2 linked regions of the Neodiprion lecontei genome follow. The protein of the gene in region 2 binds, or shares a complex with, the protein of the main gene of each other region. Links are inferred from orthologs where the notes say so. Each region holds a gene or a part of one and is shown on either strand. Other genes may lie near its edges. The genes, in order: ral GTPase-activating protein subunit beta and probable Rho GTPase-activating protein CG5521.

What was found.
Region 1: probable Rho GTPase-activating protein CG5521 (region 2) and ral GTPase-activating protein subunit beta share a complex: the UniProt entries of both Homo sapiens proteins name them as parts of the heterodimeric RalGAP1 complex. The link is inferred for Neodiprion lecontei from reciprocal best matches to the Homo sapiens genes RALGAPA1 and RALGAPB.

What each region holds. Positions count from the first base shown.
Region 1 is NC_060262.1:38,831,400-38,847,469, forward strand, and holds the start of ral GTPase-activating protein subunit beta, read right to left. Parts: upstream 9,986-16,070; 5' UTR 9,931-9,985; coding exon 9,859-9,930; intron 9,839-9,858; exon of another isoform or gene 9,820-9,838; intron 9,677-9,819; coding exon 9,256-9,676; intron 8,874-9,255; coding exon 8,847-8,873; intron 8,740-8,846; coding exon 8,525-8,739; intron 8,219-8,524; coding exon 8,035-8,218; intron 7,846-8,034; coding exon 7,585-7,845; intron 6,960-7,584; coding exon 6,774-6,959; intron 6,324-6,773; coding exon 6,219-6,323; intron 6,124-6,218; coding exon 5,983-6,123; intron 5,874-5,982; coding exon 5,635-5,873; intron 5,510-5,634; coding exon 5,279-5,509; intron 5,183-5,278; coding exon 5,029-5,182; intron 4,945-5,028; coding exon 4,837-4,944; intron 4,215-4,836; coding exon 4,050-4,214; intron 3,869-4,049; coding exon 3,728-3,868; intron 3,623-3,727; coding exon 3,608-3,622; intron 3,415-3,607; coding exon 3,254-3,414; intron 3,170-3,253; coding exon 2,996-3,169; intron 2,916-2,995; and 12 more. Other genes in the region: E3 ubiquitin-protein ligase RNF8, read left to right, coding at 11,336-11,452, 11,810-12,680, 13,036-13,473, 13,885-14,011, 14,985-15,094, 15,369-15,476, 15,559-15,666, 15,947-16,070. UniProt on the Homo sapiens protein: Non-catalytic subunit of the heterodimeric RalGAP1 and RalGAP2 complexes which act as GTPase activators for the Ras-like small GTPases RALA and RALB.
Region 2 is NC_060264.1:3,473,708-3,489,974, reverse strand, and holds the start of probable Rho GTPase-activating protein CG5521, read left to right. Parts: upstream 1-6,041; 5' UTR 6,042-6,267; coding exon 6,268-6,373; intron 6,374-8,071; coding exon 8,072-8,182; intron 8,183-8,440; coding exon 8,441-8,458; intron 8,459-8,966; coding exon 8,967-9,138; intron 9,139-9,243; coding exon 9,244-9,601; intron 9,602-9,690; coding exon 9,691-9,971; intron 9,972-10,073; coding exon 10,074-10,359; intron 10,360-10,447; coding exon 10,448-10,818; intron 10,819-10,951; coding exon 10,952-11,174; intron 11,175-11,503; coding exon 11,504-11,711; intron 11,712-11,809; coding exon 11,810-11,941; intron 11,942-12,641; coding exon 12,642-12,893; intron 12,894-14,074; coding exon 14,075-14,265; intron 14,266-14,336; coding exon 14,337-14,435; intron 14,436-14,515; coding exon 14,516-14,800; intron 14,801-14,864; coding exon 14,865-14,990; intron 14,991-15,125; coding exon 15,126-15,293; intron 15,294-15,718; coding exon 15,719-15,775; intron 15,776-16,267. Other genes in the region: uncharacterized protein LOC124294672, read right to left, coding at 3,600-3,747, 4,126-4,369, 5,375-5,510. UniProt on the Homo sapiens protein: Catalytic subunit of the heterodimeric RalGAP1 complex which acts as a GTPase activator for the Ras-like small GTPases RALA and RALB.

The sequences.
Region 1 (16,070 bases), on a different chromosome or scaffold from region 2:
GTGGATATCGGTATTGTTGCAGCAAAAGTACTAATAGAGACAATAAACTGTTTTTTTTTTTTTTTAATTTTGAGGACTGCTGAACAAAAATGTTAACAATTCGGGCTGACTAAGGTTGCATCGGTATTTTTGAACCATGTCTTGGACCTTCAATCGTCTGCGAACATGCGGTGGGTGATAGCTGAAAGAATAGTAATTAAAAACTCATTATATAAATTCTTCTTTTGAAGTTTGAAAATTTGGTAACAATTTCATTCTCTTCACTTTAGACTCTAAAAATTTACGTAAAAAAGCAAATTACATATATTGGTTCCATAAAGTTTGAATATCGAGCGTTTCGTGGTCACATATTTTGTATATCATACATAATTAATTGCTGGATAATCACAAGCCAGAAAAATGCATTATTTTCGTTGAGGCAAAAACTTTTTTACTAGCATTAGTTGTACATATACATTCAAAATTACCTCTTAACTAAAATTTGAACAGTCATCTGTGTGCTTCATTTTTGAAAAACACTTACCTATCATTGTCCAGCCTTCTTCGACGTCCCATATTTAAAGCGGTTTGTCTGACTAATGTGCCCAACACCCGTCGAGACAGCACCATGCCATCAACCAATGGAGTAGCTAAATTTATTCTAGATACAGGGCCTTGTAGTCTTACTCTCATCAAACCACTCGACAGTGAATGTAAAAAAATGACTTGAACGTCAGAAGGCCTTACACCATTGGAATGCTCGAGACCAGTATGAGTGCAAGATAGAAGGTCAGCTGCAGTAAGTGTTCAGATTGTTATTGATTAGCTGTACATTTATAACAATGCATAAAAATGGGTGACGGACACATACATTCAATTGTGCTTGATAATTGAAAGGTTAATAAACTAGTCGATTTACTTTCATCAAATGTTCAGTTTAAGGTTCTATTTTCACCTCACAATAACTATTTAACGTTGAATAGGAATTGCCCTTTGATGTAACGAGTGGACGAAGATTTATTGTTCACTTACCGATTGGAAATTGCAAGTGATCTTCTAAGCTCTCTAGCCAAACAACTAATATTCTTGTATCAGTTTGCATAGGGAGACTGTGCTTCGTGCTTCTTCTAGGTTTAATTGGATCCCCACTTGATGTGCTGGATGGACCAGAGCCTGGTAAACTGGGAGGCTGTTTGTCAAGGTCTAACGACATAGTTCGAGAATTTTGACTTCCTGACTGATTAACCGAATACGAACGGGTTCCAGCACTTTCACTAACGCTTCGCTCGAACCAAGCTAGAATGAAAATTTTTGCCACAAATAGGATCAGAGAATTTGGTAAAGCAAAACTGAAACAAAGAAACAAAATTATACCAATCAAAAAAATATGGGCATGGCTAAAACATATTTCAAAAAATCTTTGAGAATTACCACAGAGTATTTTCATATCTCACATCATTGTTTAAAAATTTGTTGAGTATCATTGAGGTGCTACAATGAAACTAAAAAAGTAAATAATCCAAGTCATGTGTATTTGCATTACCTTGGCCACCGCTTATATCGCTATTATAATTAGACTCATCAATGGAATCGGAGCTCATGTTCCCCATCAAATGTGTCGGCACTATAAACGCCACTTCTGAGCTCACATCAGCCCAGTATAAAATATGCGTGTCGCCATTATACAAAGCACCGCCATGATCGCTATGAGCCGGTTGCGGTACAGTAACTGGAATTGTAGCACGCCACGATGTAGAGACATGTCCTGTCCATCCTGCATGAGATGACACTGAGACTGGCCAGCCAAGTGAACTCAGGAACTCCAAAAAATGTGGAGATACGCTCGTTTCATGTAGCTGTTGCGTATAATTTATCGACAAAAAGAGATGATATCAGTTTCAGGTGTAGGTTCAAAAATCAACCCCTCAAGTATTCATTTGGCTCCATTGAATTCTTCATTCAAATCTGTACATACTGTAAAAGTGGACAAGAATCGAACTCACCACATTAGAGAGTATTTCTTCAGCAGATTTTTGACCAGCTCGAACGTAAAATACGTGTACTGTGTCGCAGGTTCTCGGACTTGTGTGGTCCAAACTTTCCAAGTCTGTGCAGAATCCAGGCATTGACGGATCCAAAGCTGTGAGCCCGCTGGTGGTAGAATTTTCGTTGTCATTTTGGTCTAAATTCAAGAATCCAAAATGGCTGAGGAACAATCTGGCTGTTTGAAATTCGTGACAAATTTTTGGCGGGGTACATTCTTCAATCTTGTCATCTGCGTTTCGAGCCAAATCATTACTGGACTTTGATTCCAGATTGATTTGTCTCTCCAGTAATTGTGACAAAAGATGATGCTCGTTTTTTACTGTATCATTATCATTCATTACTGCATCCAAGCTTGGTATTGACTCATCCCTATTATATCCACAATCAAGAATATCAATAATTAACTTGATGCCAAATCAACAGCCTCAATTCTTGTTCAATCATTTGAATAACTGTTACTGCATGTCAATATCTACTTACACTCTACAATGTGGAATGCGATCAACATTATCAGGGAAAAATCTCGGCTTATAATCTGGTCTTGGTGTAGCCTCGGCCAAAGGCAATGGGCGCCCAGGATTTGAGTTCATACTTCTCACGCTGGATTTATGCCTGGGTAAATGTCTAAGTTGCATTGTCCACGCATGTCGACCGAATGGACCTCTTATTAACACTGTAACAGTAGGTTGTGGATCCTGATCATTCCCTAACGGCTCTTCTAGCAGAGCTAGCATCGTAGCATTTTCAGCTACAAAGTAACGGAATCGTTCAACTGCAGCTTGTCGAGCTACGCGGCCGCCCGTCCAGCTGTTACAGTGACGAAGTAGCAAAACCTCGTCAAGTAGGGAAGAAAGAGATTGTGCTCCACAGGCACTTGGAAAATATCCTACCTGATTGTAGAATTATTGAAATTAAAATATTTAACTAACATGATCGTTCGTTTACAGACTTCATTCCGAATAGAACTTACCTGTTCTAATATAATTGTCAGGAGTGCATCAGCTGCGTCTCTAACTCGCATTGATGCTGGTTTTAATTCTTTTTCATCTTTCATTTTAATTGGTTCTCCTGGCTTACCAATGCTCTTGGTACCAGACACACCTAATTCAACTACTTCCAAAACTGTTGTAAGACAATCCTTGTCCTGTAAATGTTTATCGTTATTAGTAACCAATTCAGCTGGCATAAATAAGAAATCATTCAAACGTCTTGATTGTCTTGTACAAACTTGTAATAATTGTGGGTGAGCAGATAACCATGTGGTTAGACAAGTGAACGCTGCGACAATAGATGAATGCAAGTCCTTAGAATGAGCTGGTGGTGGTCGCCAACATTGGTAAGTGATATAATCACACAACCATTTTACTGCTCGTTTACACTCAAGAGCATCTATGACAATATGTTGTTATGAGGTTTTGAACAACTTATTCAAATTATTTCTAGGACATTCTTTATACTATGATATTTTCAATATTTCTAATATTCCTAAAAACTCAAAAACTTTTTTACTGAAGAACTGATAGAGCGTGATGGGAGCTAATTGCTTTTTGGGCATTACACAAAACATAATTGGAAGTCCAACCTGTTAGCTTCCGAGCTGCTTGACATATGTAATGTTGTTTTGATTAGTCATGATGTTTTAGTACGAAACAATCGCAAATCTCTTGTTATAGTACAACATAGAATAAACCGAAATATTTACCTGTCTCTCGAATATGCGTCCTTGCTAAACCTGCTAGCAATTCTAATGCTGCTAATGAAATGTTCAAGTCTGTTTTCCATGATGATATTAATCTGTGACATACCAAGTATGTGGCTCTTACAAAAAGAGCATGTGCAGAATCTGTAACAAAATCAGTATACGAATTTAGCCTGAAAGTTCCTTTGATGAACGTTTTGCATGGATGTGGTAGATAAACAGTCAAATACGTTTACAATTGGTGATATTAACGTCAAGATTAAATTACATTTTGGACAATCGGTGAGAGCACAACAATTCAGTACTGCAGTACAGAAATAATTACCAAAGTATTTACCAAAGGCAGAGTTTTCCTCTTGAAGTGTGACAATATCAGAGCCATCTCCAAGTGAACGTAGATCACTGGAAATGCTTACTTGACTTGTTGAATCACTGGCGACTATCAAGCAGGTGATGATGGTACAATGGTGAATGCGCAACGGAACACAACCCAAAATAAAAATGAGAAACAACACGTCACAGAAGCGTGAGAAGCAATCAAAGATAAAATGGTGATTGTTACGACAAAACTAAAGTTTTAAGAGCAGGTGTTTGTGTTGCAAAATCAAATGCAAATTTCACACCGTAGCAAACCTGTTCTCTTACGGTCGATACAAATTATCGCAAGCTAAAAATTACAATAAAACGAGATGCTTGCAGGTTAAACTTGTGATTAGTGTGCAAGACCGCCATTATTGAAAATATACCACGTTTCGATGAAAACGAAAATGGTACAATTAGCCAAATTCATTTGTATAACAAATCGAAATTGAGAATCACTGTTCATGTATATTGTTGAATTTACTCTTTGAACCCTGCGAGTTGTAGCATACTTTATTTTAAAAAATATTGTGCTTTGAGCAAACTGATTAACTTTTCAATTAGTACATGCTATTTATCAAACGAAACAGTGCGAAGGCTCAGTTACAACGTGGCAATCAATAACAATGAAATTTTGTTCTGCTTGAAAAATTCGGAAAAAAGTGTGTCTTTCTTAAAAAAAATAATATCCCAAATAATAATTACTGTTAATTCAATCGTAATAACAACTGATTCCTTAGACGTCTTATTACCTGATGATAGCAAATTAGTTGTAGTATCACTGGTGATTGTATCAGGTTGAGTTACTTGTTCAACCTCTTCAGCAGCTGCCGAGTCTTGTACGCTCAACATCAACCCCCCTGTAATAACAGTGAAAAATGAAAAACATCTTTGCAGAAAGAGAAGAGTTGGATAAAACTTGTCAACTAATATCTCAATCATACCTAAGAGCATGTGTGTGTTTAAGGGATCAGATTCGACCTGTAATGCATTTATTAGCAAGTTCATGAGTCTGGGTTTTAATTGTACAAACGTCACTGGATTCTTCTCCTGATTGATTATCGCTGTTAAAGACGGTAACTCCTTGATAGGTAAGTTCTAGATTAAAAAAAAAAAATACACATAAGCCAAAATATAACTTTTACAGAAACCATTGAAATCATTGATTCACCAACAAACGGATGTTACCATTACCTGTAGATTTAGCGGAAGTGTCAGCATAGATATCAGCAGATGTATGGAAGCTCTTCTCAATTCGATTCTGGACACAGCATTTGACTTTAATTTCAGTTCCTTTTCTGGTAGCACAATTTCCAAAGCAGATATAACAGCTGGCACCAATACTTGTACACCGTCAAGATCAAGACGAAATAAGTCTGCTGAATTTAACAAAATACTGGCCAAAGTTTCTCCACATTCTCGTGTCTAAAAAATGTAAAATGAACGTTTCATCATTTCAGAATAGCGTAGTGTAAATTGCTGATAAAAGTTTGCCCATCTGAATACACGATTGTTGAGATCCAAGAGAAAAGACGATTATTTGCGATTACCTCGTTTATTTTAAGGCCGTGATACATAGCTTGATAGAATCTAGCTAAATAAACTGGCAAAATTTCTTCCCCAGTCTTCTTTGCACAAAATATCCTGCAAAGTGCTCCCATAGCTTCGGCTCTACCTGATTCATAACGGTCAATACCAAGCGATGGTGGGATTTCACTAGTTGTTTCTTGCAATGAACTTGGTCCATCGACAAGAACTGATGATGGACGCTTTGAAGCACCTGATGGCTCTGTAATAATTTTACAAATTATAGGTATCTGTTAACTGACTTGGATGCAAATTCAAAAATATTTCAACCTATTTGCAGATTGATATAAAATTTGAAAATGAACGCTTACGAGGCAAATTTTGTGACCATCCATCTGTGCCTATAAAAGCTGCTTCGAAAAGCCATTCTCCAAACAAATGTAATATACTGTTACATTTTGGCCTTCCTGGTGCTAAGGGAGGCCTGATGTCTTGGCCTAGCGATGTTACAGCTAAAAAGGTAAGATTTTAACATGATTTTCAACATTTTTCTCATCTAAAGTTCCATTCCATTATAGCAGCTTCTTACAACCTCATTTAGCCTTACACGTTATGCTCGAAGTTGATGAGGGGCCAGAGTTGGGGGTCGATGCAGGCGGGTTGCTAGATATGCGACTTGTTGTTAATCCAATTAGAGAAGCTTTTGGGATTCCTGATCAATAAAATTAAGCACATGATGATAAGTTGTAAATATATGATTTTTTTTTAAGAAGCACTTCAGTTAGCTATAACAGATTTTCCGAAATCCTATAAATATTTTGCATAAGAGTCGTCAAAAGTTTGGTAAAAACTGAGGCATATGCTGAGATGGTAAATGTGCCAATAAATGGAATTTCCTAACCATCTTGTGTAACAGAATAGCAACGTGCAAAGACAAGTTTCATACTAGTGATGCATTGTGCTAACAAGTAAATTGTATTCAGGAAGCTGCTCTCATAGGTTTATAGATATTATTTGTATGTATAACTGTAAAATACAAAGTAATTTCGCAGATCTCATAGGTTCAAAGGTATTGCATCTTGCGCTATTACATCATGAATGAGATAAATGCAGGAGTTGGTGTAAGAATTGTAGTGGTAAATCAGTGCACTAATAATAATACCCTTAGTAACAGCAGAAGGTGTGACACTGAAACTTTTGGCCAGTCTTCGCTGTGTTGGTGGTGTGGGGGAGGGCTGTGGCTGATCTTTACCGCCAGCTTTATCTCCCGCCACACCACCACCTCCGCCACTTGCAGATGCAACACTAGTGATGCAACACTCCTCCCAGCAGCAAGCCTGTGATACCCCTGGAACATTCGCATTGCCATGCGACCACAACCAAAAAGTAGAAAAGGTTGCGAAAGTGCTGGATTTGGCGTTGATAGCGATGTAAGTGGTATGTGATATTTGAATTTGAATAAGACTTTACAATGTAATATGTACATTTAATTTATACTTTGTAATAAATTTTTTTTTTAATCTGTAATACACTGAGAAATTGAACAAAAACAGAATATACAGACTAATTTCACAAAAGATATCAAGTTTTCATCAAGGTGTTATCTAGTTGGTATGTATCGACACATTTCTAATGAATCAAAGGATTTCACTAACGCCTCCCCCATACATATAAATATGAAAAACGTGCTTCAAACCACCCACATTTGTATAAGTGAACAGAGAAACAACTGTAGCCACTACCGCTTTGACAAACAGTAATGAAATGGAGACCCAGCTTCTTAGCTTGAATTATTATCGTATTTTATGGAATGGGAAATATTGCTGTTGAATTATTGATACGTACAGTTCGAAAATTGTACAAATATTTGAAAGCTTTTATGAAGATATAACGAAATTCATTAATGTGGTAAATTTTATGATATATACACATGATATTACAAATATAATCATAATGTCGGGGATTCTACTCACCCAAAAAAGCATCAACTTGACCAGCAATACCTTTGATAGCCTTTAGAAATATTTGTGGTAAGCCCTGTAAGCAGGGATGCTGGCATGGATCAACCACGTTTTGACTAGCAATAGCGTACTGCAAAAATGCTTGTGTTTGAGATACTACAGCTGGTCTGCACAAATCTACTGGATCGCCAACAGTTCGTAGTAATCTGTACCACGATTGTGCCACTGCTTCATCAGACATTGTTTGAGGTACCAGGTGTGCGTCTTCGTCACCTAGTTTGTATCATTATGTTCAAAACTCTGACAATTCATACGTTAATGTTAGTAAAATTTAATTAGAGTTTCATTATTTCACATTTTCGAACAAGAAAAAGTAGTAATCTCGTTGATCAGTCCAAATGTAGGACACTAGAGTTAAGAGGATCTCGGCAAGCAGATGGTTCTTAATCTGAAACTACTTACTGATTTTTAATTCTGGAAACATTGGACCGTACATAACTTGCAGTAATTTTGCGGTCAGAGCTAAACAAACACGATTCCATTGCTCTACCAGAGCTAATCTATGACGCCATCGTAAACACGATTCTCGTAATGTGCGCCACAGTGGAGGAGATGGAAAATTGCGTTCACAGGCGACGAGCCATACCTGAAACAAAGTGACATTCTCCATACATGAATTGGTCTGAAATAAACGAGATTGAAGATAGCAGCCAGAATTAGCAGCCAAACATTCTAATGTTCATTCGAATAATGTAACGAAGACCGAAAATCAAATTTTTGTTAAATACCTTTAATCTGTAATACTTTTATAGGATTATGAGAATAAAACTGAACTGCATTTTTCTATTTCCGAAAAGTTTAATACGTTTGGCTGTGAATTCTAGCTGCTAGCTTCAGCTTCACTAATTTTAAATGCTTGTTATTTTTCTCAAAAGCATTGAGTAATTTTTACCTCCAACAATACACCAAGAACTCTTTCACATAGCTGTTCACCTGCATCCTCTCTAACAGCAGGTGGCGCTAATAAAGCATCGTTTATTCCTATTAAAAACAATAATAAGCTTTCCCATGTTTCTCTCTCCAAAGTTGCAGGTCCTCTTGCGACTTGCTGGAGAGTTCTGAGCACCCTGTGACATAGCACAGCTTGTCTATTTATTGTGTCAGCCCCTGCAAAAGAGTGTAACAAATTGTTATACAACAAAAAATGAAGAAAATACTCAAGATACCTAAGATATTGAAAGACAAGTGCAGAAAGTGTTAGTTTAGTCCTTTACCTAAATCCTGGTACAAAAATGGCCAGACTATGGACAAGAAATATAGAAAAAATTGGTTAGTCTATTGATAAGGGTTACGTAAGACAATAAACAATTGGTACAGTTTTGTCAAAGGAACAAAAATAGTCGCAAAATTACTCAAACTGAGCCTTAAAAGTTATTTTGTTCCCATTGTAAGTTGATACAAAATAACTTCAACTAACTAACTAATAGAACTTTAAAACAGACAAATGATTCTAAAACTGTGCTTAGATTATTTTCTAAAAGACTTATATGTTGTAATTATAAATTAATTATTATTAAACTGATCAGTAATATTGTATTAACTTGAAAGACATTCTTGTTATTACAATCTCACCAACTGAACTAACAACAAAAACAACAAAAAACAGTGTTAAACATATCTTACCTTCTCCCTTTCTTGGTACAAATAAATTATGGAAGTGGCTGATTATTTTACGTGCATAAAAATTTGGGTCCTCGACAATGGGTCTTGGTACAGAAATTTTTGGCGATGAATACAGAGCAGATAGCCATTCGCAATAGACATTAACACAGTCTCTGACAGTATCATGCTCCGCCAATGGCAACGAAAGTCCGAAGCAAATGACTTCCATACACCACTGAACTTCTCGATCCGTAGTCAACGGGCTGTGCTCAGCTGCCTGTGTTATGCCAAGATTAGTAGCTAGCTGACGAACGATCGAGAGCGCTACTTCTCGTCCAGCTACAGGGTGGAATTTTTTTAAAACGCTCTGGCTGTCCTCTGAGCCATTCTGAACCAGTGTGCTCAGGGAGGCCCATTCTGAATACATTCCTCCTCCAGAATCCTGTGCAGAGGTAAGGTTACGATATGAAAATAAAAACATGGTTATTAAACTCTGAAACGCATATATGCGATGTCGTGATATTTAATTTTCTACGAGAATATCGTTCGGCCGTAATTTCTCCATTGTTAAAAGACATCATTAACCTTTCGTTTGCTATCTCCGACGATTATTTAATAATTTACCGAGATCGAGTTTCTTGGCCCAGTCATTATTGAGGTTATACATGCAACTTTGACAAGTGTCGGGCTTTGCATCAACGATAGCCTACGTGTCAAACGTAATATCGAATGCTGGACTGTGAGGCGTATAAGTTACCTTGAGATTAACCCTGTTGAATACGCCTAAATTCATAGATTACCATGCGCAAGTATGACGTACGATTGGAAAGGAATAATTAATTAACTTCCTACTCTGACCTGTCAAACTCAGCCAGAAAACTTCGAATATAGCTCGTGTAGCTGAAAAGCTGGTAGTAGCAACGCAAACCTAATCCGAAATCCATCCACCTAGCGGTAATTTGGCAAAAGTAACTCTGCGCGCAATGCGCATGCGCACTAGCTGATTTGCTTCATGGGTATTAACAAAACTACGAGCCTAGAATAGAAACAAACTACGAGTGTGGGCGAGTTATCAAAGATAGGTGTAAATGATGAAACAGATTTTTGGTCATACAAATTTAATCCGAACAATCAACTCTTTGTAATGAAAAAAATGAGAAAACCTGTGGACGTCCAATAAATAAATGAACCAAACAAATCTGATCATTAATCATTTTAAGTGAACTACGCATAAGACTCTGGGTTGAGAACCAGTATTTGAGAACACAATTTTGGCTTTCTTGTTACATTAGCTTTATTCAAGGGAGGACGGGTAACTGAATGATTGGTACACCTGGATGTATCACGGATAATGAGTTATCGTTTATTGAAGAGTTCAGAGGTAAGTATCACGCGGTTCTTTTTGCCACCGCTCTGGCTGAGTGTAACAGGTCTTGCTTTCTTGGGCGCGCGCGCGTGGTGAGTTCTCGAACGATCATTCGTCGCAGAGACGGAACGTCAGCGTCTGCTTACGCTGCCGCTTACGATCTGGGGCGCTGCTCTCAGCTCTGACGACGGGCGAACCTGGTCGTTGTCCAGAGGTCGCCACACAATAAACTTCCGCTGGTTGCGCATTGCCAGAAATTTGCTGCAGGTGCATTGACAAAGATAAACAACGGTATTTTAAGTTTGATGCATAACTTCAAGTACATTAAATCATAACGGTGTATTTATCGATTCAAAGTGGGATAAGTGAAATATCAGTGAGGGTTCAGAATTGCGTTAATTCGAAATACTACTGATAATACAAAAGATTTAATTCGCTGTGATGAAAGGTTATCGTTTCGGCGATAAAAAAAAGAGAGAGTGAAATTTTTCACTTCCTATGCTGCACGAGCTGCTTTTGTTTACATGAGTTTAGCTTCGGTAATAGGATAGTGTTTTGCAGGTTTTGAAGCAAGTTCCCTGAGCGATTCTTCGTTCCCAAAACAAAGCACGCAATGTTATAACATGAATTAACCGATGTTGATGTGATATTCGGCGTGTTTTTGATAATTAACGCAAGATCGGCTGCGGTCGCCATCAAGTTTTTGAAAATTGTCAAGAACATTCATCAACCACGATGGAAGAACAGGAAAGTCATAGTTCGAAAAGAAACATGTCTGATAGTCTGGAGGCCGTGCTTGTCAACGTTGAAAATACCGATCCCAGTAGTTTCATTCACATTGACAAAAATGAGGTATTACAGTTGGAATAACATTACTCACACTATAAACTTCACCAGCTTCTTATTGGTGTCAGGAGTTTCATGCACGAATTTTACCATGTTCTATCAAACACTCACTCACAAAAGATTTCCTCATCTTTGAGCCGAGCAGTTAGCTTTAATATATTTCAGTTCAGTTCTATTTCAATCATTGCATGTCATAGAACCCGTGTTCTATTTTTCATAGGTTAACAAATTGCCGAGTATATATATTCTTTTTTATATATATGATTTTACCACCAAATTATATCCTTTTTGTATACATTATACAGTTACGACAGAATCGATAGCATGATTTATACATCATGAGCATTTCCCATTTTCTCGCAGTTTAAAATAGGTAGAGGACGATCGAACGACGAGATACTGGCTAATATTTCGATATCAAGGCAGCATTGTATTATCAAACGCTCAGACGTTGGCGAATGGACGATACAGGATTTCAGTACGACTGGTACTTTTGTCAATGGGAATCAGTTGGCACCAGGAGAAATACGGACGATTAAAATAAATGATTCTGTACGGTTTGGTCCGATGTCTGAATTTTTGTACAAAGTGCAACTACTCTCTAAGAGTGAGCCGCTCACCAAGAAGGCGAAGATGTCTGTGCCAGAGATGGATTTACAAGATATTGTTATGAAGCAAAAGACTTTTGAAGAATCGCAGCAAATGGAAAGGGATAATCTTGCGGAACAAATGAAAGCCAAACACAACGAGCAACTGGAGTTGAAAAATGAACTGCAAAAGTTGTTGAACGAAAGAGAAGCGGCAAAGGGAGTGAAGGATCATTTAAACAATCAGATCAACATGCTGGAAAAAAATATAGAGGAAGTCAAACAGGCCGAAATGAATCTTGAGAAACTGAATCGAGAGTTGTCGGAACGATTAGATAAGGAGAGGCAAGAGTTTGAGACAAAATTGAACGAGGAGAAAAAGAAGCTGGAAGAAGCCTTGGAGATTAGTAGGAAAGAAAAAGAGATGTTGGTCAATAATATGAAAGAACAGTTGGAGAAACTGAAAAATGAACAACAGATTGAGTGCAAAAAGCTAACCGAGTCACTCAGCGAAGAAAAGAAAACTGCTGAAAAATTACAGAGTGAAAAGGTTGAAATCGAACAAAAACTTAAGGAGACGGAAGATGCTTTACTCAAGATAGAATCAAAAGCCAATGAACTTCAAACTACTCTTGAAAAACAAAATGGTAATTTTATCTACTGTGGAAAGTATAGTTGAGTGGGTACGATGGGTAAAATAGATTAAAGTCATTTCTTCATCTCAAATCTGGAGTAAATGACTAATATTGAAAAAATCGTGAATAGCCACTTCAGTTTTGCATAATTTTTCTTGTCCTATTCTAATGAGGTAATGTTGTTTTTTACGTGAACGCAAATTTCGCATCTACACATATTATAGTTGATTTTTTTTTTTTTCTCTCAAAGTTATTAAGAATAAAAATTGTATCCTTTTTAAGTTTATTATGAAATTGTGGCAGTGTTAATCTGAAAAAAAAAATCAAATGTTTCTTGTTATATAATTTAGTCATGATTATTTTTCAGCAGAGTCAGCTGCAAAAGTTGTCGCCCTCGGTACTGTGGCAGAAAACGTTGAAATTATTGATGAGTCACATCTGACGATTCTAGATACGATAGATTTGACTAAAGAAACACCTACGAAGAAAGCTGCTCCACCGAGCAGCACAGTGTCAGCTAATGAAGACGTCTTCAACAAAGTTGGCGATATCATGGATGAACAGTTGACATGTAGTATTTGTTCAGAACTATTCGTAAAAGCAACAACACTGAATTGTACTCACACATTTTGTCAGTACTGCATAGATACTTGGGAGAAGAAAAAGAAAGAATGTCCGGTGTGCAGAACGGCAATAATTGCCATGAATCGATCTTTGGTTTTAGACAATTTCATTGACAAAATGGTGGAAAACTTGTCAGTGGAATATAAGAAACGAAGGACAGATATTGTTGAAGAACGGAGAGGTAAACTCGGCCTTCCTCTATCTGTTGTAAAATCTAACGCCTACCAGTTTTGCACTGTATTATAATTTGTAAAATTGTTTTTAGTATAAATTACATACCTTTTTTTCCAAAACGGTGGGTTTTATTGATTCTATTAGGTATTATTGACTTTAAGTAAAGGAAAATTAGTTACAACCATCTGACAGTGAATGTCGGTGGAACGATTAGTATTTCCAAATCGTATGCTATGATTGATTTATGATAGTGTATCCATCATACGAAATCTGTTGAAATTTTATACCACAATAAACTGGTAGGTGGTGTAATTAATTGTACTAATCTTATTTATATAGAATACGATACATCAGAAGTCGAAATCAAGATGCCATATATCCTACATTTTTCTCACAGCTTTAAACTAATATTTTTCAGAATATGAAAGGGCAGCAAAGCAACCGGCGAATCAAGCACGTGGAAAGAAAGGTCGAGGCCGAGGTAGGGGAGGAAACGCGAATACAAATACTAATCGTACTGGAAATACTTCTACAGCAGCGACTAGGTCAGTAGGTCAGTGTGTAAATTCATCACAATAGATACTGACATGAGCTTTTAATTCGAATCGCATTACTACGTAGGGCGATGTATACATGTACCGTTTATTCATTCACATTGAGTAGAGTAGAAATTTCTGGTGAATTTTTCAAATCGACATATACTTGTATTACCCATCTCAATTTAAAAAGACGCCATCTACTGAAATGTTGAAATATGTAACCAACCCATGAAAAATAACCACCTTGCGTTTGAGGAGTTCGAAACTTGTATTCATGATTAGTTTCCTTTATTTTTACGTATAATCGAAATGTGCGCCAGCCTCTTGGTGCTTTACTTTTTTCGTGAAAACAATTTAATATTCCTGATGCTTTTTTTAATTTATTTTTTAATGGAATTTTCATTGCATGTATAATATACACACTCAAAATCTTTTATATTGTACTTCTTACTAAATATGGCTTCCCTTTGTCAATAATTAGTTAAAAAATTAATTATCGTTATGACAGTCTCGTGTACTTTAGATTGAGATTTTCACATGTTTCGACATGGCTTTGTTAATGTTATCTACATCCTGAAGTTGATTTTACTTGTTGAAAAATGTTTACATGTAAACAAGAATGATAGTTACCATATTATTCAAGTTTGTAAGCAACTTTCGTCTGATTTGGCCAAGTTATTTCTCCTTATTAGAATTAACATATCTAATTGTGTGCCTGTTTAAGAATATGTTCGAACTTATTATTGTTTTTATATGAACGTGAGACTGTACGTGGTTTAGTAACATTTCCTGTTACCTAAGTTTCACCAGCAATACATCTATGACAATATTAAAAGGTTTTCATAATCGATATACTGTATTTTTCGAATTAGACCCTCGGGACAAAAAAGAGATTTTATTCAAAGATAAACCGCATAACTGTATGAAAATTGAATCATATAACTATGAAAATATCAAGCGATTAAAATTTATCTGACAGTCGGACAGCCGGTAACAATCACATCCCAGGCAGGACAAGCGGTAGCAATCCGGATTGGAACAATGCCTCAGGGTCAAGCGGTCAACATCGCCAACAACGCTCAAGTAGTGGTAGGTGTAAAAAGAAAGGACCTCATTACCCTGCAGAAATTGTGTTGTGCTGTTCCATTCTATTCTAGGAAGTAGTCTTACCATTCGTTGATGAGTACTGAAGAGCTTTCTTGGAATGTACATATGTGTTATGGTATATTCAATGATTGGTACAAGATGTGTACCAAAATGTGGTTTCAGTAAGATGAACTAAAAATGGGGTTGATTTTTGATAGTATTTGAGAAAACACAATATACGTTATTTATCAGTCACTTCAATTTATATTTATTTCAGGTGGTACCACAAATCATGAACAGACACCCGCATCCACCCAGGGTTCAGGTAATACAACCCAACAGACCAACGATGATGATGACGGTTCAACGTGGAGCACGTCGACAGGTATATACAATTTTCTATCTTTATTGACCTGGCAAATGAATGGCACACAAATACCAATTTTTTTGGATTGTGTTTGCAACAGACGGCGACGGTGAGGATACCAACTCCCTCTCATCCGTCTACTCCTATAGTCAGACCTCTGAGGATCCGGAGAGCCACTCCGGAAACATGGACATCTCAATCGACTCAGGTATGTCCGATCCTGTGTATAGTATGTGTTTTCGAACTGAAGGATTTAAGGCTGAACCGTTCATGATTAAAGTATTGGAATGAATTTTTAAAGGATGAGTCAGTAATGACTCATTCACTATTGAAATTTACGGTTTTGAACATTAATTTGCATATTTTTTCGGCAAATAATTAAAAAGATGATTAAAAGGGTGTATTGCCATTTAGAAATTTTTTTTATGCGATACTTGCAAGGCGATTAAGGTCTCTTTCATGAATCTTTTCTCAATGTCTGACTTCAGATGGCCACAGCAGCGACGATAGCTGGTCGGGAATAGTCGATGGATATGAGGATTATTGGAGCGAACCACAGGACGACTATATAGAAGGTCGAATTGGTGCCCTTTACGGTGGATATGGTAGTTG
Region 2 (16,267 bases):
CGCAACGTAAAAACAGGGAATAAACGTACACATGTACGTAAAATGTATGAATGTAATATACGACGTGTGTATAATGTACAGGCAAGTGAATATAACGAGCTTTGAAAGCTGCGTCTTGTTCCAGTTTTGCGGACCGTCGTCGTATGCCTGTATATAATTTAATAACGCCGAAATTTGTTGTACGGATGGATCTAAGGTCGATATGTGAAGTTGTGAATTCCCCCAACCAGTCCGCAGACTCTGCGAAATTTACCGGCGAACGAATCTCTCGCGTTATAACGATCTAAACCTTTCAAATCGCATTAATAACCCAAATCAAGTTTCAATACGTATATACGTGTACACGTGTTTGTATTCGTGTATCCTTGTGAACATTTGACAGAAAAACAAAAAAAAAAAAAAAAGTAGTAGAAAAGAAAAGACAAACGCCAATTTATGCAGTGAAACAGGATGTGGACGGTATTCGATACGTCGTATGGATGCAGCTGATCGATTCACCGTCGCAAAGCGGAAGTCACATTCTGACAACCTTACAACGATTAGGATTATCCAGATTAAGGGGACTGGTCTGCACTTTGGTTCTGTCGGTACGTTTGGGATTATGGTTACATATCAGATTCGAAGTATCATTTAAGAAGCACCACCCATATATTCGATATTTTATCGTTCGGTATAATTATGAGAAATTGGATCAACGGTAAGATTTCTTTCAATCTTACTCCTTCGGTACATCGATTAAAGACTGACGAATTTCTTCCTCAGATTCATCGAAATGGTATCATCCCGATTTCCCCATCGCAAATCGATATCTTGTTAATCATGATTGCGTGATAATTCGAAGGGTCGATATTCGCCCGCGGTTGATTCGAGTCGAGACTCGGTGTGGCCGCAACCGGATCATCGAGTAGGTACGTGGAGAAGGACGAAGGGGAAAGGAGGAAAAGGGGGAGGCTCGTGTTTCCGCCTGGTCGAGCAACAATGCCCGCAGACAAATGAGCATCCCGCCTCCATTGTTCGTTACATCGGCACCACCGGGCACCATCACCACGCGGGTTGGTTTGGATATTCGAACAAGAAGAAGAAGAAGAAGAAGAAGAAGTGGAAGTGGAAGAAGAGAAGAAGTAAGGAGGAGAGGACGAGTCGCGACGCAGGTACCGGAGAAGCGAGAAGCAGAGTAGATGAGATGAGATGAGATGAGGTGAGATGAGATGAGATGACGTCAGAGAGGAAGGGGGGGGGGGGGGGGATCGACACGTCCAGTGGCCCGCGAACGAAGAGCCGCACACCCGGTCGACGAATGGGACCCGACTGGGGGGTCTTCGATCAGACTGACGATGCGGGCCAGCACCGATTAAACATCGGATGAGAAGAAGACGCGACTGTTTCGTCAGTATCGAGTCACCGATTAGTTATTCCAGACATTTTTTCATTCAATTTTTTCTAAAAGCACAATACGGACGAATGGTGGTTCGTTGGTTATAAAGAGGAACCGAAGCTGTTGAGCTGTCGATATGCTTATGGACATATATATATATATATACTGCGGAGGGATAAAATTTGATTCAGTCATATGTCGCGATCTGAAACGCGATGTTTTCTAATGTTTTTTTCTGGTTACAGAGGGAGAGAGAATTAATGGCTGCGGGTGAAAATTTAGAAAGACCAAGACATGGAATAAGGTGACAATATCGAATATTTAAAGAAGCGAAAATTCAATTTGGTAAAGTAGAAAATGTTGAATATATCGAAGTACGGGGAAGTAAAAAAATAGAAAGGTCAGAATATATATATATATATATATATATATAATACCAAAATGTAGAAACGTCAGAATTCGTGTCGATAATATATAATTGAATAAGATTCTAGATTATATGTTGTTCTATAATGTTTTGTATTTCCGTATTTCGACTTCCCGCACTGAAACCTTCTGAATTTCGATAATTTTGATTTAAATTTTCACGTCTTTGAAAATTCTACATCTTGGATACTTCCATCGTTCGGTCATTCTTTTATTTTTCACCTCCACCCGATTTAATATCCCGAATTCTTATAGTGCATTGCAGGCAGTGTGCACAATGTAAGGAATAAAATAAAGGGCACTACAGGTTGTGAAGAAACGAGAAAATAAAAATAAGGACGCGGTTCATGCGCCGCCGCTGGAGGTAAGAAAGATATTGCGAGGATCGTGGAATTAAGAGGAGCAGAAAAGTGAGTGGAGGGGAGGCGGGGATATAGTCGTAGGCCTAAGGTGGATCGAATTTCTCTTATCCAGAAGGCGGCTGAGCCGTAAGCCCACCAAAGAGCAAGGTGTGCTCTGGCGGTGCTTGCACCGCAGGGATAGACTAGGCTCCTCGCTCGCGTCGACGCATGAATGGGGCCTCCTTCGCGAGGACGCGACGCGAACGAACGGACCCAGACATCTGGTCCCGGGTCTCTCCTTGCGCATAACGCGTTCTACCACAAGGCGGGTATAACGCGACCCTCGCACAGTCTTCTTGTATTAAAAGCTAAAAAACACTCCGCATCCCCTTCTCCTGGTCTTAATTACTCCTGCGGCAGGTCGAGGATTACGCGTATACGTATAGTATACTTCTTCGGTTTCTATTCTCTTCTATACTCTTCCTCATTTGTTTTTTTCGCAACGGATTTCAGCGTCAGGCGCACACGCGTATACATTCGTACTTGAATACCACATGGAAAATCGGTCATGCAGGTTAATTTTATTATACAGATAGACGCAATGCTTTTTTCACGTAGCTTATAATGTGTTGGCTTATCCGATGCACGACGTGACGTTGCGGGTTTTTCATTCGTGGATCGATTTCTTATGCATACAACCTTGATTATATGCATGTATAGTATATCCATGACGTATGAAAAAGAGAGAGGGGGGGGGGGGGAGGGAGAGATAGAAAAAAGAAACACGGGGATACCCCGAACTGAACGAGGAAGCTAAGAAGAAGAAGGCGGAACGAATTACTAAAGCCGTGCAGGTCTGCCGGGAGTTACTATTAGACGTGCATACGTCGTACATGGGAGAAGAGGGACTTCCGGATTCGCCCCCTACGGACGCCCCCCGCAAGGGTAAACAGTTTTTTTTTTTTTTTACCACCGCCCTTCCCGCTGCGGCAAAACAGCCGAACGACGGTCGTTTATTAAGGGCGCTTTTTGCGGCCCCCGTTATATGCATGTATATATATATATACACTCTATACGTGTATTTCTATATAATATACGTCGGTTCCGGGTCGTAGATTTTACCGGAAATCGACCATCGGTTCATCGGATTATCCGCAATGATCGGGAACGAAAATCGCCCCATGCAAGCAGCTTATATGGTATATAATATGTAGACCTATAAGTAATTTACACGATTCTAAATAGTTTATCACAGACGTACGATGAAATTCGTTGTTTCTGTATTCAAGAGACGGACAATCCGCCGTAAACAGAATCAATATCTTAAAACGAACAATTTATAGATTAATACGAGTGTGCCTGATCGACGTGGAAACGGGAAACTGAACCTAACCACACTTCCACACTGAAATTTCTACCGTCGAGACAAACTATGTCGAATACAACGTAATCCATCATCACGGAATCAAATGTTGATACTTCGCGGGTTTCTCGTAAGCGGGTTTCGATTTCTGGTGCTTGACGCGTTCTTGAAAGGCCTTCAAGTCCGCGGTCAGTTCCTGGTAAGACGGCGGCACGGAATCGGCAAATTCGGGCTCTACCTCCCTAATTATGGTGTAAAAACAATTGTGATCACAAGCAGTTATAAGACAGAAAGCGACGGAATGATGTACGAACCGAAATATTTATAAATAAGTAATTAAGTAACATACGGAATAGGTATAAATATAGACACACAAAACATACACATGTCAAACCGTAAAGTAATAACTTGCCATCGGAATAAAACTTTTGTAGAAACAAAAAAAAAACAAAAAAAAACGACTCCATTCACACAAGCATATAACTGCTCAGGTGCGGAGAACTGTGGATAACATCGAACAAAAAAAACATGCACATTTTACATACAAAAAGCAAAAACGATCTTTGAATAAATCTATATCCAAATCTCACTGATAATCGAAATGGAAAAACCTGACTCACATGTTTTGCTCCTCGCGAACGCAGCGTTTGCAGGTGTTACTGGCTGACAAGGCGACTCGGTCCAGTCCCAGCTCCTTCAGGATCCTCAATTCGTCGAACCAAATCCTCCTCCTTTGCGGCGATTCGGAACCGGCACAAACTCCCGAACTGTTGTCATCGCATCCTGGAATCGTCGAATCAAGGCACTTGTCGCACCGAACTGACGAGTCCTTCGACCAATTCACTCGCGACTCATGGCCATTGCCTGCCGACAAATTTTACCATGTATGTTCGCAGCTTACTTCAGAGCGCTCGAATTAAGCATTGATCAACTGAAAACTCCGCACTATAAGCACTAATGTCTTCTTATCGCGGCGTTTTATTTCGTGTTACAAGTAAACGTTACACATTCCTGCCCGAATTTAACGATTCAGCCAACTCTCGCGTGCTTTAACAAGGGTTTTTTCTTTCAATTAAAGCTTGGTTGTCGAACGAGGATCGAACTGAGCTAACAAACCGACAATTGAACGACGCATACTACCACATCCCGCGCTCTGTTCAATTGTTTTTAAAACCATCGACATTATCTGCGTATAGATTTAAACTTGCGGTCGCGATTCGAACCGGAAGTGCATTGAATTACGAAGATTGTTGCGTCGGAGGGGTGAAATAATAGAAATATGTCGAAATAAATATACCCTCGGATTATTACTTGTTTATAAAAGCGCAAATTCGTTGGAAAGGGAGATTTAAGTCACGGTGTTTACGAAGCGACGCCTTTAGTTTCTTTTGTTTTTTTTTTTACATAAAATCGATCTATAATCGCAATATGCGGCTTCGATAATCCGTCGATATGACGAAAATAATAGATTTTTTTTACTAGGTTAATACTACTTAATAAAAATGTATGATTTGTTTTCGTTCACCGAAAACATTGTACTCAAAATACAGGCGTGTCATGTATTTTCTACGGAACCTGCAACTGCAAGCCATTCTTTAATCATGCAAATCATCGGATGGATTCAACGAATACAATTAGCGTTAACGTTTTATTCGCTTGGCTGCAGGTTACCCCTACCTTAGCATGTACGTTATATGTCGTTTAAGAAAAATTTAACTATCTGTTAAAATAGATCGGGAAGCAATTACTGAAAATACTTCTTACGCAAACACGCCGATCAGGACCATCTAGCTTTCATAGTCAGACCTGTCTCGAATGCGGAGAATTCTCGTCAACGCTGTTCTATCACCTAGGGGTTAAACAGCGTACCCTGAGCCGGCCGAAGGGGAACCAGTTCTTTCTGACAGTCGATAAACTCCCAAAAAGACTTTATCTTCGCTCGACGACTCTTACCGCCGCCCCTAGTAAAATCTAGCTCGATACCGGCCACCTCGCTTCCCGCCATGTCGCTTCTCGGTCATTCTCTGTCCGTTTGTTTCTCGCTTTGCGCTTGTTTCTTCTCGCAGTGACCACGGAGTACGTAACTACTAGTCAGCCTTCGATGGGCTAACTTCGTTACTTTTAAACTTGTCTTACTAGTTGTGGCGTCGACGGTTGTGGCGCTAGCTTCGTTCCCATGCAAATGGCGATATCAGGCGATCGAAATTTTGTCCGAGCTTGCCTCCTTCGCTCAGTTTTCGCTTCAGTGGCGCAGCAGTTGGCAGCAGTGAATTAAGTCGGCGCGCCAAATTCAAACTCACATACCGCGGAACTGTTTCTACATTTTCCTGACACACATTGAAAAGGAAATTCGTGCTGCTAATAAGCGAGAGTTAGAATTGGATCAGTATTTAAAAATATTTTAAAGATATCAGGTCGCAGCTGCTCGGTAATATTGAAAATCGGAGTAATCGGAGTGATCTAACGATGGGTGATGTCATTACCCTGCTTTGGGATCTGGCAAGTAGGTTCGCGGCGAGAATCAAGATGGCTGCCACATGCGATTAACGATACATCGGACATCCGACTTGTGCAGTGCGCTCGGTCCGACACACTGACATTTGGTACATGTATTAGCTACTTTTTTATACCGATCCGTCAATCGTACTTCGGGGTGTTTTGTCGGGGTAATTATCATTGCGTGTAACTGATGAGGAATATTTCCAATCCGCTCGATGATAGTATCTCTCAGCGAGTCCGCCGGCGACTCGCATTGAACGACAATGTTCAGCAAAAAACTTCACGTAGACGTCAAAAAGTCAACACTCAAGATACAGGATGTAAAAAAGGACAGCGCTACGAGGTTTAAACATCTGAAAATCGTTCTTGGTGAGTATCTGGCATTTCCTACACTATGATAAATATCTTTTTACAAACCTCCCTGCCTGCTGTGTCAAATCAGATGGATACATTTGATTAACCAAAACACCTTTAGGTTCCAATAACCAACAGGGTGTTATTTCACATTCTCTCTTTCTCTCTCCCCCCCCTCCCTCTCTCTCTTCCACATCTATTTGAAGAGAGACTTCTGTTGGTCTTTACACCTACGCGATTTTCATCACAAATACCTGTTTTCTTTACGCATAGTTGAAATCACATTTGTTGTTGTAGAATAAAGGATAGTTGTCAAAGCCTTTAACGTCAGCGAAGACACGTCGCGACGCAACTCAGACCCTGATCTGCATTCCATTAATATCGGTGTATCACATGGTCCGATTTGATCTAAGATTTGCATCTTTGAGTAAACACATAAAACGATCTGTCCTGTCTATATTTGGCATCGACTAACACGATTGCATGTAAATATTTGTTTTGTACAACAAGAGAGAGGTGCTATATATTATTTTCAATCTTCTCTTATTCTGAAATACAAAAAGTTGTTGATGTAAATAAAAATTTTCAAGTTCCTTTTGTGTTTAATTACCTATATTAACAAAATCCTTGATATTGATATTTGCTCAGGATCCTTGGAGAAATACAAAATATTTTGCAGTAAATGTATTTACTTGAAATTACTTGGTGTTTATTATCATATTATACATTCTTATGTTGTTCTGCATTTCATGTTAGATCGGATTATTCCATAACAAAAATTACCGATTCATTTCTTCGATTACATGCTATAATTTTATAGTAAGTTTGAAATGGTTTTATTTATTCGTATCAAGTCAAAGATGAATATTGCCTTGAAAAATGACCATGTATATGACCATGATTATGAGTCGTCCTTTACAAATTGAGAGAACTTAATTTTTGCCAACTGGTTATTATTCTTTGCAAGGTAAATATGAAATCTGAGCAATTGAAACCGAGTCCAAACGTACACGAATTGATTTTCGAATAAATATCTCACCAATTATTCCACCAGGCAGATGTGGAATATTTAGTAATCTGTAAATGATGGCTCTTCTAGTCTGACAAAACATTGTATACAACATGTAATTTTTATTCATTTTTCCTGATCCTGAAATTTTTACTGTCGGCAAATTGCTAGATACAAGCACTTGCTGCCAGTGTGAATGGCAATAATAAAAAATGCCTAGAATAAATAAAACACCTCTGCGTAGTCCTGAGGCAGTTGTGGTCAAACAACATTATAGTAACTGGTTGGTATCTAATCACCGGACCACATTACCAAGCTGACCACACAGCTTGGTTCGGCCTCCATCTGGAGCTAAAATTACTCTTCACTGTTAAAAACAGATAATTGCATATCAATAATTTTCTCAATTCGAACCGTCTTGCTGCAGAATTTCCTCGTTTAATTATTTTTATGTTACATCCGCAAGACTTTCTTTTCTCATATCATGATGTTATCAAATCGTTTCAATAAGTTAATCCCAAGTTCTTTTCCACGAACAACAATCTGTTTGCCCAGTTGTAAGTCTCTAGTATTTTATTTTTCCGATGCAAAACATTAGAAAACAAAGGATGTTTTTACCTTGACGATATCAAGGACTTGTAATTTTTTCTCAGAAAAGTCGAGCGGCTCATTACACTCTTTTTTTCTTTCACTGTATTTTACAGAAAACGTAGACACGGATGAAGCGAAGGGTTTCTTCGAGGGGAATTTCAGTCATGTATACTTCATACTGTACGACTGCTTTGTTTCCGCGGAAGCAAATTTACGCCAGCGTGGTAAGTTTTCTAAACTTCTTTTATTCCACAATGTTATGCGCCGTTTACTGCAAAAAGATATACACATGTGTATGGAAACATTCTTTATATAAACAAATACATCAATGACAACATTGGTTTCATCAATGGGCATTTGTTAATTAATTTATTGTTGCCTGTTGTTATATTGTCACAATTATTAATTCTGTGTATTCGATAAACTGTGTACTGATGACAATTGTTTTTCTCTATTTTCCCCCTCTATCACTTTGCTGACAGAACTTTCCTTTCACCTCGGTAAGTGAAACATTTTTGCCGAGCATGCAAAATACCTTGCATATACTATATATATATATATTTTTTTTATATACTTTTTTTCGCAGTCGAGCAGGTCGTAGAACTTAGAATTGTGTATGAAATTTATATGTAACGCACTGCACAATGGGATGAACTATTCTCTTATAAAAATATCTCTGAATTCTCCTACTTTCTATGGCTCAATTATGTAATAACTGTAATATTCTCAAATATGTTGCTATTCGATCGTTCGTTTTTTTTTTTTTCCCATTCGTTTGCACTTCTAATACAGATTTCCATCGTCGCTAATAAGTTGCATGATCAAATATGAGATTGCACGGAAACGGCAGTAACGATTCCCCTTTCAAAAATGACCCATCTCAGAAAGCGATGACTTGATAGATTGATGGCATGATTTTCTGTGTGTTGAAAAATAATCGATATAAATCAGGAGATACAAAGACGTTTTAGAATTGACCTGTAAATATAGATTTTTTTCTGCAAACAGTTCACAAGGCGCACAGAGAAGAGCTGGAACAGGTGTTACAGCTTTTGGAAAAAATACTGACACTCCTTCCTGAGCTTCTGAATCGAAGATGGCAGTGCCACAGCCTTGCCAGGATATTGAGGAAACTTTTACACCCAGGAAACAGCTGGAAATTACGTCGTCAAGCCATAAGGTTTTGCAAAATTTTATGGTCTCATTGAAATATTCCGATTTGCTTCCTGTTTATTACTTTCGCAACAATTACGGATCCTCAAATTCTGCTCATTTATCGCTGCAGATACTTCATACTCTGGTACCAAGCGCTCGGCGACAATGCTCCGGAACACATACATCAAATGTTCGCCTGTCTGGTACCCGGCTTTCCACCAAGTCAGGCATCGCCCTATAAGCTTGAGCGTAAGTCGGATAACAAAAAGGATAAGCCAACGAAATCAGCGAGCTACGATGACAAGGAAAAGAGAGAATTCTATGACACGCAATTGGGACAAAGCATTTTCCATGACACCGGGGTAACTCAAGGACCCATCAGCCTGGTTGATGGCGGGCCAATTTTACCGCCGCAGAGCGGCGAAAAGCCACTGGACCACGAAACCGTGCGGTTTCTTGAAGCTCTACTTGACTTTATGGTTAGCCAGGTATATGATCGTGGATAAATATACAATTGGAACCCTATTCTGTCGCCCGTCGTTTTTAATTTTCTTTTTTCTTCTTCCTATGATTACAGGTTGTCAAGGTCGAATGGCGAGACAAACACGCCAGACAACACAAGGCGTTTCAATTTCTACTGGAACGATTTAAGGCAACTTACTTGCGATACATCTGCCCAGAGTTTAACGACAATTTTTCACTGTACAAACCGAATTTAGAGCTTCCTGGAATGAGGAAACCTTCCCCTAATCAAGGCCAGGACGTTTACACACTCTGCAAAGTTACGCTTATCAAATGGGTCGCTAAATATACTCATGTCACGAAGAAGGATGGTCTATTGTTGCAGCCTTTACCAAAGTACGAAACAACGAATGATTGTTACTTATGATTGCATGTTCAAAAATAGTTCTTTTTTTTTCGATCCTCTAAGGAACTGATCAATTGTTTTTATCTCATCAGCACGACAACTAGTGATGAAAATCCAGAACCAGAACTTCGGCGTGTATCCGTTATCCAGAATTCAACGGATCCAAATACTTTGTCTCCCGAAGTTGCTTCCCAGCATGAAAACCAGGAGGATAACACTGTGCTGGCCACTAATCTAGTGCGAGAAGTCTTCTACGGGAACCGAGACAATGTTAATTTCGTTCACGAACTTTACAGACAAGCATTTCTACTAGATTTCACTCACGCTGGTGCTATAAGAAAGGCTATTGCTGTTTACAAAGACTGGATACAAATGAATGTAAGCTATTTTGTTGAAAGCTAGTGGAACTTGAATTGATTGCTTCGAATTGTAGTATAGAATTTAATTCGTCAACTATTATCGTCAGGAACTTCCATCATTCATGCTAGAGCCCTTGGAGAGTCATAAGGACAGAGAAATTGAAGATCAAGTGAAGAGGGAGGCTTTAATTAACGATCGAAGTCCACCGGAAAGCTACAGACAGACTAGACTAAGAAACGATTCGTATCTTGGAGCTATTCACAGGGAAAATTTGTTTGTGAGGGCTGGATTGCAAAATGTTTTACAAGTTTTTGTAACACAAGCTTCAAACGTATTTTTCTTAGAAACGCCAGGGGGTAATGCGTCCGCAACTCTGTTAGAGGAACAAACTGATAGCTGTAAACGTGTGCTAAATGTTTATCGCCACGTCGTTATGCAAGTCAGACTTGAACCCGCCACCTGGGAACAATTACTTCGGTGAATATTTGTTTCAGTACACAAATTGACACACGCCATAACTTTTTCGTGCTTGTAATCTGAACTCATGATTTATTACTATCGACAAACCTTTGGAATTTTGCATTTCATTCTTTTAATTGTTATTTTTCAGAGTATTACTACAGATAACATCTTTGGTACTAAGCGACAAAACATCGCGTAGAAAACAACAAGAAAGTATCGGCGGTAAATTGGCGCCGGCGATATTTCAGACTCTGATAGTAACTTGGATCAAAGCTAATTTAAACGTTGTTATATCTACTCAGCTTTGGGACCAATTTCTCGCCGTTTTAACTTCCCTAACCCAATGGGAAGAGCTGATTCGTGAATGGGCTGTAAGTTGCGAACTTGACACAACACACACCCTCCACTAAAGTCCCAAAGTGGTTTGAATTAGTATTTTATTTTTATTTTTTGTTTTGGATCACTCAGTCACGCATGTAAAAAAAAATATCAGTATTCGACGCTGGTTGCAGATAATTTATAGGGAAAAAATATTCAATTAACATTAGTACCACTTAAAACTGTAGAGGTAACTTATTACTTATCCTTGATACATGGGAAAAAAAATCCCATTACCTGAAGTGTTTACAAATTTAAAAAATCTCAAACTGCTTCGAACAGAATAATTCGTAAAATTTCAATTCCGTAATATGATTTGCAGAAAACTTTAGACACTCTAACCAGAGTTTTAGCAAGACATGTGTACAATCTTGATCTCAATGATCTACCACTGGATCGGCTTAGTGAGCAAAAGTCAAAGAAAAGACGAGGTATCGGCAGCCGTGCCGCTTCAACGGGATGTGTTCAGCCCCAAAGGAGAGGAAGTGTTGATCATGAAACTGGGGCAACCATGAAGGACAGTGTTACTGGTGATTAAAAATATGCGTAGACCATTTCGACCATTTTAAAAGCCTAAACTATTCGGTGTAATCCAATTTCAACTCGAGCTTTCTCTCAAACCTCGCAGATCATCCACTGCGCGACCCTAGAAAATTCCGTCCGCTTCCGAGAAGCGCTAGCGATAACACAATATACAATGGGAAAGGAAAAATTAAGCTGCACAGACATCGCACTCACACTATACATTCCGGAGTTCCTGGTAAGTTGTATGATCACTCGTTAAATTTGTCGGTAGGCTTGATGATTCGCTGATGTTTTTTTCTTCGTTGTGAGTCTACAATCTAATCGCCATCGTGTTCATACTCATATTCAAACATGGATGCATATAAAACAGCCATTTTGTTGACCCTGGTCTATTTATTACCTTTATTCTTATTTTATTTTTGTCATCGTAAATATTATTATTATTGTTGTTTATTTCCCGCTTTTTCGGTGTGTCATCATCACTGGGATAAAAATAATCGACTCTTGTGTCAAACCTCCTTCATCGGATGCAGCACAGTTTTAAATCGTTTTTCACTTACGTTTATTTATCATATCAGTCATCGCCATTTCAATTATTCAAGCAGTGTTTGTTGGTGACAGTAAAAAATGTTGTTTTTTGAAACTCTACTGCACAATTTTTTTCAATTACGTATCTGTCTGCTAAAGTGTCCAATGCCTCTGCTCTAAAATTAATCTCACATTGAGTTTAAGTAATAAAATGGATAATTATCCAATGGTGGTATATGGGACAGCAAATGTGAAAATATTGACTGTGAATTGAATGGACTCGCATTAATTCGGTACTTGCGATTAACGAATCGTGGTGATATTGTAGAAGAAAAAGTAGGCACATCGCAATTTCTGATTGCGGTATATACGATCATTGTGAACTAAGCGTGAATTTCCTCGGGCAGTACTCCCCTTGTCAATAGAGCAAGATATGGCAAGGCTATTGTCCACTACTGCTACGACTACAACGGGTAACGAGCCTGCAACAACAGTATCAAAAATGTTACCAAGCAGACGCACTAAGTCATTGGACAGCGTCGTTGTCGTCGACAGCGAACCTCCATCTCCGCGCTGTCCTTCGCCTACACCCAGCAGTGGCGTTGATAGCAACAAGGATAGTCCAATACAGATAGAAAATATTGATGGGAACAGCATTGGTGAGTAGTAACAGCATCCCTAGAATATGAAAAACAAACTGCACGGTAATTTTAGAATGGCAGTGAATTGAGAATTGTAAAAAAATGATTATTCTTTCTATCTCACTTACCGAGATTAGAGTATTTTAAGATATAAAATAAGCGTTGCTGTACACGTTTAAGCGCAGTTTGAATCGACAATATTTTTCGTTAAATATTCAATAAGCAACAATTTTCTTATCGATTCGAAATTGTAAATACAGTCTTCAGACGAATAATTCGACGTTTGTAACGATTTACCTAAAAATCATGCGTACAATTTTTTGGTAATTACATATTACTCTGCTCGATGGATTTTTAGGAATTTCTGCGAAATGTTTACACATAACGTCGTAAATACATGAAGTAATTTAATAGCTGCATTAGCACGCTCCGATAAAATACCACATGGCTTAATTCTGATAACTACTTTACGGCAGGTTCATTTACTATTAAACATCAACATGGTACTGAGTGAAATTGTGTTACTGGGAATTACAAGCCTTGAAATTAGAAATTTAAACAGGAAAGTACATACAAATGGCTTATTGCCAAACGCAGGAAGAATTCAATGTTTCCTTTTGATTGTACTAAACCTCTTAGTTAAAGCAAACTGGAAGTGACGCTTGACTGAAGATGGTGTTTTTATAAATTCTACTTATTCATTCACTTACGCAACTGTAAGTGGGAACTTAACATTTAGATCATTCACTCTTACTTCTTTGATAGCTTGATCAATTCGTGCATCTAGAATCTTTCTACTTTATTGCTTGGACAACAACAATGCCTTTTTCGCTTAAAAAATTACTCAAGGGTAAGAAGTTTTTTACGTTTGTCCTTTCGTCTGTTTTAGTCTCTCTCTTTTTCTCTCTCGCTCTGTCTCTCTGCCATATTCGATTTGCTCAATACATTGGCTAATTTTTATTTGCTATTACTGGGAAATCGTGTTTATCATTATCGCTTTTGAAAAAAATTTTATTATAAAATATACATTTCGTATTCTTCAAACAGCCCTCAAGGAAATATATATTTTATTTCTGATTATGTGAATTCGAAAGAGAGAAAAAAAACACGGTACAAGTTCTTGACCTACGATACTAAAGAATTGCTTGAAAATTGAATTTCGAAACACTTCGGTTTAACATTCTATTATTGTTGTTCAGATACAAGCGATGTATCGGAAAGACGATCAGTTATGGCTGGAGGCGGAGTTCCTGGTTGGCTACCAGACGTCGCTGTAGCTTTATGGCGACGAATGCTATCAGCATTGGGCGATGTTAACAATATTCAAGACCCAGCTCTTCATGGACAAGTTATGGACTACCTTGTCCAGCTGACTCACACACTGATAAAAGTGAGTTTCACAGTTATAGACTCGTTTTCAAGCACCCGGCTAATTAATTCAATAATTTATCTTCGCTTCAGATTCGTTTAAACCAAGGAGTGTCCGGCGACAATCAAGGCACACCTCCTGTACCAGACTTAATTCCACCATTGACTATAATCGCTCCCTGGTGCTTCAAGGTGCGACAAATTATTCACTATTCTTGTCCCCTTACTGTGCAAAAGCAACTAAATTGTCTTGTTATTCTACTCATTTGCAGGCGATACAGTTGCCGCAACAGTATGAAGTTGGAAGGCTAGCCGCATATCGTTTGATTTGTCTTCTCACTGTTCAACCGATGGACATATCTCTTCCCAAGCCACATTTAACGCTATTTTACCGCGCTGTACACAACGGAATAGTCAGCAATAACACCAAGGTTCTTCACGCTCTTGTAAAGTACACGGGACCCAGATTATTCAGCCTCAATCTGCCTGGTTCCAGTTTACTAATTCTCGACTACATCCACGCAGCTAACGTCATACTCAACAGCAACGACGTTGAGGTGAGACTCGTCGTAACTTTATTGCTGTTAGTCAGTGTATAATAAACTTTTGGCACATTTACAGGCGCCCAGAACAGAAGCTGTTTCCATATTGGGATCGCTGCTCTCACTACCAGCTACAGTTGCTAAACTTCCAGTATTACAGCCCTCTGGAAGCGATATCGTAACAGTAACGTGCCCCGATGCGAAGGTAAGGAAAATGTCTTGACAAGTTTTCTGAAAAGCCAAAGTTTAAAGTTTCAAGATTATATTTCTTTAATACCGCGTAAGGTCTAACAACGATTGTTCAAAGAATGAGATGATATCATGTTTTAAACTCGAAAAGGAGCACATCGTGACGATCCTGATCAGGAGTTGTCGCAGAGAACCAACGGGTGTGGCAAGGTGTGTCGCACTTTCCAGCATCGGCATGTTTGTCTACAGAGAATTGTCGCATAAAACGCAACATGCCAGAGTGCCAGAAGCTGTTACGGTGCTTCTTCTAGGCCTGAGGGTGAGTTGAATCAGATTCAATGGACAATGATCAATCTATGCATGTTGTAATTTCGTTTGAGCGCAGAAGTATATAAGTATATATTTTTTTTACAAAGCTGAAGTGGTGATAGTAGTTTGAATCTTCGACAATTTATTTTCTTTTCAATTCCATTTTCAATATATCTTATGATATTATATTTCAAAGTAGTATAAATTTTATTATTTATTAACGAAACGACACATTTGGTATTTGGTCGATTGAGCCACTCAAGCATGATTTAGTAAAGCAATATACACATATACGGCACAATGCTTAACGCGCGTAACAAAGCTGCATGTTATAATACACATATTGTTGAATAACTCAATATCGGAGGTGATTTAGATGCTGCAGCTATTGTAGCGATTAGTATTGTTGTTATTTCTGTTGGGTCTGGTTGACAGAGGTTGCAGGTTGCTGGGCAGCGAAAGGATGGGATGAATTTTCCCCTGCTAGACAAGGTAGTCTCTCTCTTGGTCGCTCCTACAAACTCACTCCCAAGTCTTTATTGTTCATCTTGAACTATTTCAGTGTCCGTCCAACATTTGTTATTTCAATTGTCCACGTCCGACGTTCTGAAGCCTAAATCGTTGTCTGTTTCATCCCGCAAAGAAAGATCAAATTGTATAAAGCGACGTCGAACACGTTACAGAAGAGAATACGGTTAGAAGTTTGAATCTACATTTAATCGATCATTTTCAGCGTACACCGAAAATCAACTAGTGATTGGCTACGTTAATACTGACTTTGATTGACTCATGCTTTTGTACACAGAACGAACACTATGAAGTACCTACCACAATGTCGTTCATGTACGCTTATTTGTTTCGCATGATCTATTACACTATGTTTTTGTTTAAATGCAGGAATCAAGCTTTCCAAATTAAAGAAGTACCAGCAATGATCGTGTACAGAAATAATTATACAGCTAAATGATAGACAACTGGCATCTC